Linked DNA regions of Mus musculus. The main gene of each other region encodes a partner of the protein of the gene in region 2 in a complex. Each region holds a gene or a part of one and is shown on either strand. Other genes may lie near its edges. A codon is read from its position in the direction of its gene.

Region 1 (4,267 bases), about 21 Mb from region 2:
AGGCAGGGTGAGGAGGACCAACCTGTACCAACACCTCTGCTTCCCCAGCTCTCCCAGAAGGCATATCAGCAGTACAGGCACTAAGTCACCAAGAGTCCTCAGTACTAAGTGTAGTTGTAGAAATGACATGCTAGATGTAGGAGGTCCAGTCTCTCCTCTACAGAGAGAAACTGACATGAACGGAGCTGCAGCCGTTCAGCGCTCGCTCCCTCTGGGCCCCGGGTTAAGGAGCATCCCAGCTGAAGATCTTGGAAGCACTGGTTTTGTCTGCTTCCTTGGAGGGCACAGATGGCAGGCAATAGACTAGTGCAACCCCATACTAAAAGGAGCCAGAGAAAAGTGTTGTTAAATAAGAAATCCGGACCATAGCCAGGCGTGATGGCGCACGCCTTTAATCCCAGCACTCGGTAGGCAGAGGCAGGCGGATTTCTGAGTTTGAGGCCAGCCTCGTCTATAGAGTGAGTTCCAGGACAGTCAGGGCTATACAGAGAAACCCTGTCTCGAAAAACCAGAAAAAAAAAAGAAAAAAAAAAAAGAAAGAAAAAAGAAACCCGGACCAGATGTGGCAGTGCGTGCATTTAATCCCACCTCTCAGGAGGCTGATGAACCTTTCTGAGTTCAAGGACAGCCTGGTCTCCATAGCAAGAGTTCTAGGTCAGCCAGCCAGGGATACTTAGGGAGACCTTGTCTCAACAAACAAACAGAAAACCCTTTTAAAAATGGGTGTTGTGGTGGCTTTAGGGATGGCTCAGTGCTGAGAACTTGCTGCTCTTGTAGAAAATCCAAATTCAGTTCCCAGCACCCATACCAGGAGGCTTACAGCTATTTGTAATTCCAGCTCCAGGGTACCTGATACCCTCTTCTTGCCTCCATAGGAACCTGTATGCACATGCACCCAAATACACACACATAAAAAACAAGTCTTCTGGGGCTGGAGAGATGGCTTAGCAGTTAAGAGCACTGGCTGTACTTCCAGAGGACCTGGGTTCAATTCCCAGCACCCTCACGGTGGCTCACAACTGACTGTAGCTCTAGTTCCGGGGGATTTGGCACCTTCACAGACATACATGCACATAAAATGAAAAGAAATCCTTCAAAAACCCAAACACACAGTCTTTTTTAACAATAAGTGGTTGGTGGGTTTTCTGGGCTGCTAGCGGGATCCCACTTTACATTCCCACCCATCTATCTCGCACTGGTGACCTGACCTGGAAGACGGCAGGTGCATATTCATCATCGATGGAGTTCCGTTCGTTCACTGAGGGGCAGTCAGGGCCCTGTCCCAAGGTGGCTACCTCTAGACCAAATAGGGAATGGTTTCCACGAGGAGAAGCTCCAACCAGGGCCACTTCTAACTGGCAGACATCTGCTGTGTGCAGGAGGCGAGGGGGCTGAGCAGGTCGACCAGATCTAGAAAAGGCTTGGACCTTGGAAGGAGAAGGAAGCCATGTGGGGAGAATGGAGCTTGAGGGACAGATACTCCCACCCTCATCAGTCATTTCCAGTTCCTTCCCCATAGCCTCACCTTGAAGGTCAGGCTGCCATTGGCGAATGCTCCAGTAGGATCATCTACAGGGCGGCCTTGAAAATCGGCACTCAGGTTGGCAAGATCCAATGAGTTGGTGATATTGTTCCAGGAGAACTTGGCCAAGGAGTACGGAGGGTATGGCTTTCCTGGAGGCTGTGCCCCCTCGGACGCATTGGTGCTGTCAAACTCAAGCAGCTGGGGACAGGGTAGAGTGGAAGAGGCTTGCCTCCCTCTGGCTTTCTCTTGAATATCCCTCCCAGTCACCCCACCCAAAACTGCATTCACTTCACCCACCCTGGGCTAAACCCGTCCCTCGCCCTGGGGGTAGGATGGACTCTCTTCTTGTGATCTTCTCTCTGGGCTCCTTCAGACCCTCACCCTGGTGAAGACGAGAGCAGAAGAAAACTGTATGCTGCTCTTGGGGAGCACCATCAGGGCCCCAGCAGGATCGGGAGACAGCAGGAGACTCCAGTTGACACTCAGGACACTCTGAGTGGTGTTAGTGGCCACCAGCACCACAGCTGGAGGCCCCAGGCTGCTCCACACATAGTGCAGGGTGGAGTTGCTGCCCACTGCCCGAATATGAAGCAGGTTCTGTGGATTTGGCCAGCCGGAAATAACCTCCATAGATACCTGGAACACGGGGTAGTGGGGCGGAAGGAGCAAGATCAGGTATGCTCACAGGCAAAGCTGCAGCTTGTAGGTGGAGGACAGGACCTGGGCAATGCAAGGGCTCTTGAGGACCAGGCAAGAGGGAAATGTAGAAACTGAGGGGAACTTGGAATCAGGGGCAGATGTAGGGTTGAGAACATAGGGTGGATCCAGGATTACTCAGAGGGCTCAGAGCTAACAAGGCTTTTAAGTCCCCAAACTTGCCTGTTCCTGGGCTACAATGGCTGAGCCATGGCTCAGACATCGTCAGAAAGCAGGACGCAGTCATGCCTGACCCCTCCACAATTCTTCCAATCACTCGTGACTCCACACTGAGCTCTCTGGGTTGTTATCTCTCTTGCATCCACCTTCCACCCCTCTGTTGTCCCAGATTCCGGTCATCCTAGAAAGGTAGGATTTCCGGAAACATCTATAACTTCAGTTCCAGAGCCCTTACCTGGCGAGTCTCTTCTCCCTGCAGGCCAAATGGAGCTGAACACACAAGTAGACTCAAAAGGAGCCATGGGGTAGGGGCACAGGGGACCCAGCCCCAGTGAGGTCCCCAACAGCGAAACATACAGCCACAGCTAGTTAAACTCAGCGGAAGAGCCTCAGAGTCACATGACTCCTTTCCTGCTGATCCCTTTTGAGGGCGGGCCAACAAAGTTCTTAAAGGGGCCGCTTCTATTAACCCAGATCTGTTTAAGTTGGAATAGCCTCCCGAAAGCTCAAGGTGAACAGGTATTTTATCATCAACAGGTTGGCCTAGGCATCCTAGACTAGCTGTGCAAACATACTCCTACCTTACTGCAGACACCCTACCGGCCCCACCTACATCACCTCTGGTGAATAAACCCAGATTAAAATTTCCACACAATTTAACAGAGTAATTTGTATGTTACTGCTCTGTGCTAGAAAGATATAGAGAGGGCTGGAGAGATGGCTCAGTGGTTAAGAGCACTGACTGCTTTTCCGAAGGTCCTGAGTTCAAATCCCACCAACCACATGGTGGCTCACAACCATCCGTAATGAGACCTGACGTCCTCTTCTGGTGCAGCTAAAGACAGCTACAGTGTACTTAGATATAATAATAAAAAAAAATCTTCAAAACAAAAAAGGAAAGATATAGAGAGGAATTGGATATAAAAGAACCCTTGGGGGTCAGCAAGATGCCTCAGCATTTGCTCTAAACTGAACATGAGTTGGATATATATTCAGGACCAACGCGGTAGAAGGAGAAAAATAATTGCCAGAAGCTGTAACCTGATTTACACATGCATTCTGTGCATTGCTCACATAAAACAAGTGCAGTAAAATGTAAAAGAATGCCGGGCGGTGGTGGCGCACACCTTTGATCACAGCACTTGGGAGGCAGAGGCAGGCGGATTTCTGAGTTTGAGAAAAGTGAGTGCTAGGACACCAGGGTTACACAGAGAAACCCTGTCTTGAAAAAACAAAGACAAAAACACAAACAAAAAAAGTAAAAGAATAATAAAAGAATCCTTAGGTATGGTAGTCTCAGAAAACAGAACCAAACAGGAATGGAGGCTTGTTTCTACAAGGGGACCAAGACACCCTAATTCCAGCCAAGAGGTGAGAAGAGGAAGACCAGAAATTCAAGGTCTGGGGCATGAGATGTTCAGCAGGTAAATGCATTTCATTTATTAGATTACCAAGTAGGCAGGGACTGGCTGTCCAGGAACTCTTTATACATACCAGGCCGGCCTTGAACTATTAAAGATCCACCTGCCTGCCTCTACCTCCTCTGCTGGAATTAAAGGCATGAGCACCACAACCAGCCTGTTTTTCCTAAAATCTTAACATGTAAAGTATTTTGCCTGTATGTCTGTCTGTGTCTGGTGTCCTCAGAGACCAGAAGAGGATGTCAGATCCTCTGAGGCTGGAGTTACAGATGGCTGTGAGCTACCATGGAGATGATGGGAATCAAACCTTGGGTCCTCTGGAAGAAGTCAGTGCTCTTCATTACTGAGCATTTTCTCCATCTCCAACTTAAATCTGTTAGACTAATGCACAGTACAAATTTGAACCAGGTGTTCTGGCACAAGCCTTTAATCCTAGCTAACCAGG
Region 2 (4,383 bases):
TTGGGCCAAGAATACCAGGCATACAGCAGCATGAATTTCGTGGTGTTCACTTGCATGTCCTGGATAGAGAGAAAAGAAAACTTTTTTTCCACACAGATTCTGCAATTAACGAATCAAAACAAAACGTAGTGACAGCTGTGTATCTATACAGGGTATGTTTCCTAACCATGTGTGAACTGTTACTTCCTTGTGACTCTGGAAGCTACGACCCTTGCCCTTAGAATAACAGCCATACCTGGGAACATCTTAAGTCCACATACTATGTCTCAGGCCTCATGGATTCTAGGACCTGTCACTGGCATGGGGGCCAACTCAGCCCTTTTCTGTCTCCTACGTTCCTCCTTCTTCATTTCCACCTCCATTATGGACTCCTCCCAAACAGAAAAGAATCGTCCTTGCCTAGTCTTACAGATGTTATCCTCTTTAACCCCTCCTAGAATGCAAAGGACAGCCCATGCATTTTTCCTCTGCCTAATGGCTTTTTAAAATGCACATAATGATGGTCTAAATGCCCAAAAAACAACAAATATCAAATACAGTTTTACAACTCAAAACCAGACTAAGAATGCAGATAGGGCCAATACTCAGCAACCAGTATGCACATTTATAAAAGTAAATAACAGCAAAGTTTATCTAAGAAGGCCAAAGCTGTCCCACCACTCACTCAATGGTTCAGAGGAGTGCAAAGCTCCAACCAACACTAGCATTTCCCGTAACACTGTGGGCAGAGTCCATAATTATCTACCTAAAGAAGAAAACCATCTCGAGGCATGTATATGTTATTCAGGAGTTCTTTAGAGAAACAAATTTGATCTCTGCAGCCTGTGGGTGTGGTGATAACAGACACTAGAAGAGAAAGTGGACATCTCAGATGGGGCACCTGAGAGCTCATTCTATCTGAGCATCTGTAAGTGAGTGCTCCAAAGCAAAGCAGTACAAGAACGGAGAAAATCAACTCACCCGTTTCACCTGAGTCTGAAGGGCAGCGGGGTTGTCATAGCAGAAATAGCTGCCTAGAAAAAGGAAGAACACATATTTCACTCGGAATGATAATATCTATATAAGAGTTTCAAGTTACAACTCCTAACTAGTAACTCCCCGGAGGTGTTTAAGGTTTACTATGGCTGACACTATGACAACAGATTTTTTTTTCTTGCTTGTGTGTTTGTTTTACACCACTTCCTGATCTACCATTCCAAAGAACTTCCACAAGGTAGTGGTGTGCATACACAGCATATACCAGAAACCTGATAAAGAGGTCAACATCAACTGCTTTTAATCATTTCGTTTCCGTCTTTCTTCCCATGCTTATCACTGTATTAACATCTTCATGAAATCGCTGCATTTCCCTTACTTAAAAAAAGTCTACAAGCATCCTCTACAGGTGCACGTTAGCTGGGTCCTCACTTTTCTTGAAAGCAGAGGTAACTCAGAGATTCAAACCAAACCAGTATTTGATATAGATCCTGATCCTGCAAACAAACAAACAAAAACAAACAAAAATACCCAGGAGCAAATAACTGAGTGAAAACTGGGCTAGAAACAAGAACAACACAAGCGCCAGTCTAAGGGATCAAATGAAAACTGGCAATGTCTCCTGGGAGCGGGGAAAGCTGACAGGCTTGAAGAAGCCCCAAGGTAACACTGCCTGTTTCCCCGCTGACTCTGTAAATACACAAAGCTAGCGGTCCAAAGGTGGAGAAGGCAGCTAGCGACAGGGCGGCTCTAGTTTCTCAAACCCAAACTTTCAGCCCAATCTACCTACCAAAAATAAACTGTCAACTTGAGTAGGGACAATTTCTTCAAGTGTTTTGTCTATGCTTACTGGTTATTGATTCTAAACCTAGAAACTTCTCCTTCAGGATTTAACTGCTTATAAGAAATTCAATACCATGGTTGGTTGGTTGGTTGGTTGAGACAAGATCTCACTTTGTAGCCCTGGCTGGCCTCTCTAGCGCACAGACATGTCCCTGTCTTCCAGTACTGAGATTAAAGGGCGCCACCACTATCAGCTCAATACGTTTTAAAGCAAATGAGTACCATCTTCTCAAAAATAAAGAAACCGAAGCCCAAAGTATCTTTTATAAACCAGGTGCATGTATTTCTGAATCTGATCCCCCTGAAACACTCTTTCAAGCCAAGCCAGTTGTTACGAATCCGAACAGTTTCAATGTAAACTAAAAACTGTAACACGGGAGGGAAGGGTGTCTTTAAAAGTAGCTAATGAAAGTGTTTTGCGCCAGATCAGATTTCATAAGTGAAACCAACTTAACAAGTGTGGTCCTGCAAGGCTGTCTCACAGAGGAAAGGTAAGAAAAGACTCCTACTAAGGTGTACTTAGCAGTGAACACTATCCAAAGCGGATCCGAGCTCTAAAAGAATACAAAGGAAAGCACTGGGGAATGGGAGGGGTCGCCTGGGGAGGGAGGAAGAGGGACTTAGTCACGCTCTGAAATTCCCCCAGCAACGTTCTGAAACTCTCGGGAGCACAGCTCTCCGGGAGAAAGATCTGAGTTTCCTTCTCATCTGCGTCCCCAGGGAGGAGCTGCTGAACACCGGGGCTTGGAGGAACAAACGTCACCTCGCTCCAGACACTTGGAAAAAGCGGGCTCCCGAGCCCAGGCAGCAGCGCGAACCCTGGAATCCCTCTATCATCTGCCCCAGCCGAGCCCCGCTCACCGAAGCCAAGGAAGCACATGAGCGACAGCACCACGAGCCGGTGCGCCAGGCGGCTGGGGTCGCAGAGCGCGGACAGAGCGCGAGGGGCGCCATGGACTGCGCTGTCCGCCTCGCGGCGGCCCCCAAGCAGCGCCCGATCTTCCCCATCCTCGTCCTCCATCAGCTTGCAGCCTGGAACGGAGCAGGAAGCAAAGGCAGGGCGGCAGCGGCAGCGGCAGCACTCACGTGATCACGTGTGTTCACGTGACTTGCTCGGGCCACGCCTCTCCGTGCTCACGTGAACGGTTGCTCACGTGGTGGCCGGGCTCCCGTGCTGCCTTTCTGTTCTGCCGATGGGGTATAGATCCGGTCGGGAGTGGGAGTGAGCGACCGGGTTCTCATTAACATCTGATTTAAAACCAGTAGGAAGTGGTGGTGCAGAAGTCGTGGTGGAAGGCTTGACCTGAACCCAGCTCAGTCCTCCCTCCCTCACTTCGCCAACTCTTCATGAAGAGTTGTTAAGTTGACCTGACGGAACAGCATATGATGTACCTGACACTTATGTACTAGAAAAGAGGACAAATTCTCTCACCTCTGAATATGGGTGAGAGAATTTCCTTAGGTGGACAGAAACTAATCATGTGGGTGGATGGATGGTGACTGCAGCTGAAAGAGTTATTGAATTCCTCTGGGTTTTATACGTTTATAATTACACGTTTATACTGATCTTGGAGTAAGAGGAAAGTCGAGTAAAGTAGAAACACGAACATCCTAAATGAGGAGCCATTCAGAGATGTCCAGCAGAGTATAGAGACCACTAGGTTTGTTTTGAGAAGTTTGATTTGGCAGCGCAGCCTTCTACCCCACATTTCTAGGTTTGCCGAGTCTTTGCAGTAGAATTTTGAGTGTAGCAAGGCTAGGTGCTAAATAGCTGTAAAGCGTGCCGCAGAAGTGAAAGTGAGAGGCTCAAAGCTGGAGCTATCGCACCAAGGAGAGATCCAGTGACTAAATGAGGACTTGCTTAAACAATAGCACCTGGGATTTGAAAAAGGAGGAGGACTTTTGAGTGTTTTCTAGACTCCTAGCTTGGGCCCTCCAAAGAGATCCAAATATGGGGGATGGGGAAGCAGAGGGACTGTGTCAGAGAGATACCGTTTGGAATGTTTATGCATAGCCTGCTGTCTACCTTGCATTCCCCTGACTAACACTGTGCAGTTGCCAGCACAGTGGTCATACCCCACCTTGGGCTTAATCTTTCACTCAGCATCAGCTGTACTACAATGAAGGGCCTAGACCATCAGTTTACATTCCTTGGCTTTGTCCACAGTATAGATTACTGTCTTGTGCTGGCTAGTTTTATGTCAACTTGACACAAGCTGAAGTCATCTGAGAGGAGGGAGCCTCAGTTGAGAAAATGCCTCCATGGAATGAACCTGTAGGCAAGGCTGTAGGACATTTTCTTAATTAATGACTGTTGGGGAGGGCCCAGCTACCCTTGGGTTGATAGTCTGAGGTTCTATGAGAAAGCAGGCTGAACAAGTCATGAGGAGCAAGCCAGTAAGCAGCACTGTTCCATGGCCTCTACATCAGCTCCTGCCTCCAGCAGAAGGTTCTGTTTGAGTTCCTGTCCTGACTTCCTTCAGGGAGAGACTATGATGTGGAAGTATAAGCCAAATTAATCCTTTCCTCCTTAACTTGCTTTGGTCATAGTGTTTCATTAAAGCA

What was found.
Region 1: the proteins of Mfsd1 (region 2) and Glmp are in contact, whole or in part, in a cryo-EM structure (PDB 8R8Q), measured with the Mus musculus proteins. Residues at the interface, in NP_080089.1 of Mus musculus: Val288, Glu292, Lys293, Arg295, Phe349, Phe351, Leu411, Asp412, Lys414, Gly415, Tyr416, Leu417, Leu418, Val421, Ile424, Ser428, Leu432, Val435, Leu439; in NP_064387.1 of Mus musculus: Glu250 (codon at 1,253), Asn252 (codon at 1,247), Ser253 (codon at 1,244), Ile254 (codon at 1,241), Asp255 (codon at 1,238), Asp256 (codon at 1,235), Glu257 (codon at 1,232), Pro260 (codon at 1,223), Ala261 (codon at 1,220), Phe263 (codon at 1,214), Gln264 (codon at 1,211), Arg292, Phe364, Leu367, Val368, Ile371, Met372, Ala375, Ala378, Leu381, Met382, Gly385, Phe389.

What each region holds. Positions count from the first base shown.
Region 1 is NC_000069.6:88,323,571-88,327,837, reverse strand, and holds the start of Glmp (glycosylated lysosomal membrane protein precursor), read right to left. Parts: upstream 2,816-4,267; 5' UTR 2,757-2,815; coding exon 2,637-2,756; intron 2,162-2,636; coding exon 1,907-2,161; intron 1,724-1,906; coding exon 1,526-1,723; intron 1,428-1,525; coding exon 1,209-1,427; intron 1-1,208. UniProt on the Homo sapiens protein: Required to protect lysosomal transporter MFSD1 from lysosomal proteolysis and for MFSD1 lysosomal localization.
Region 2 is NC_000069.6:67,581,274-67,585,656, reverse strand, and holds the start of Mfsd1 (major facilitator superfamily domain-containing protein 1), read right to left. Parts: upstream 2,890-4,383; 5' UTR 2,840-2,889; coding exon 2,680-2,839; intron 1,014-2,679; coding exon 961-1,013; intron 60-960; coding exon 1-59. UniProt on the Homo sapiens protein: Lysosomal dipeptide uniporter that selectively exports lysine, arginine or histidine-containing dipeptides with a net positive charge from the lysosome lumen into the cytosol.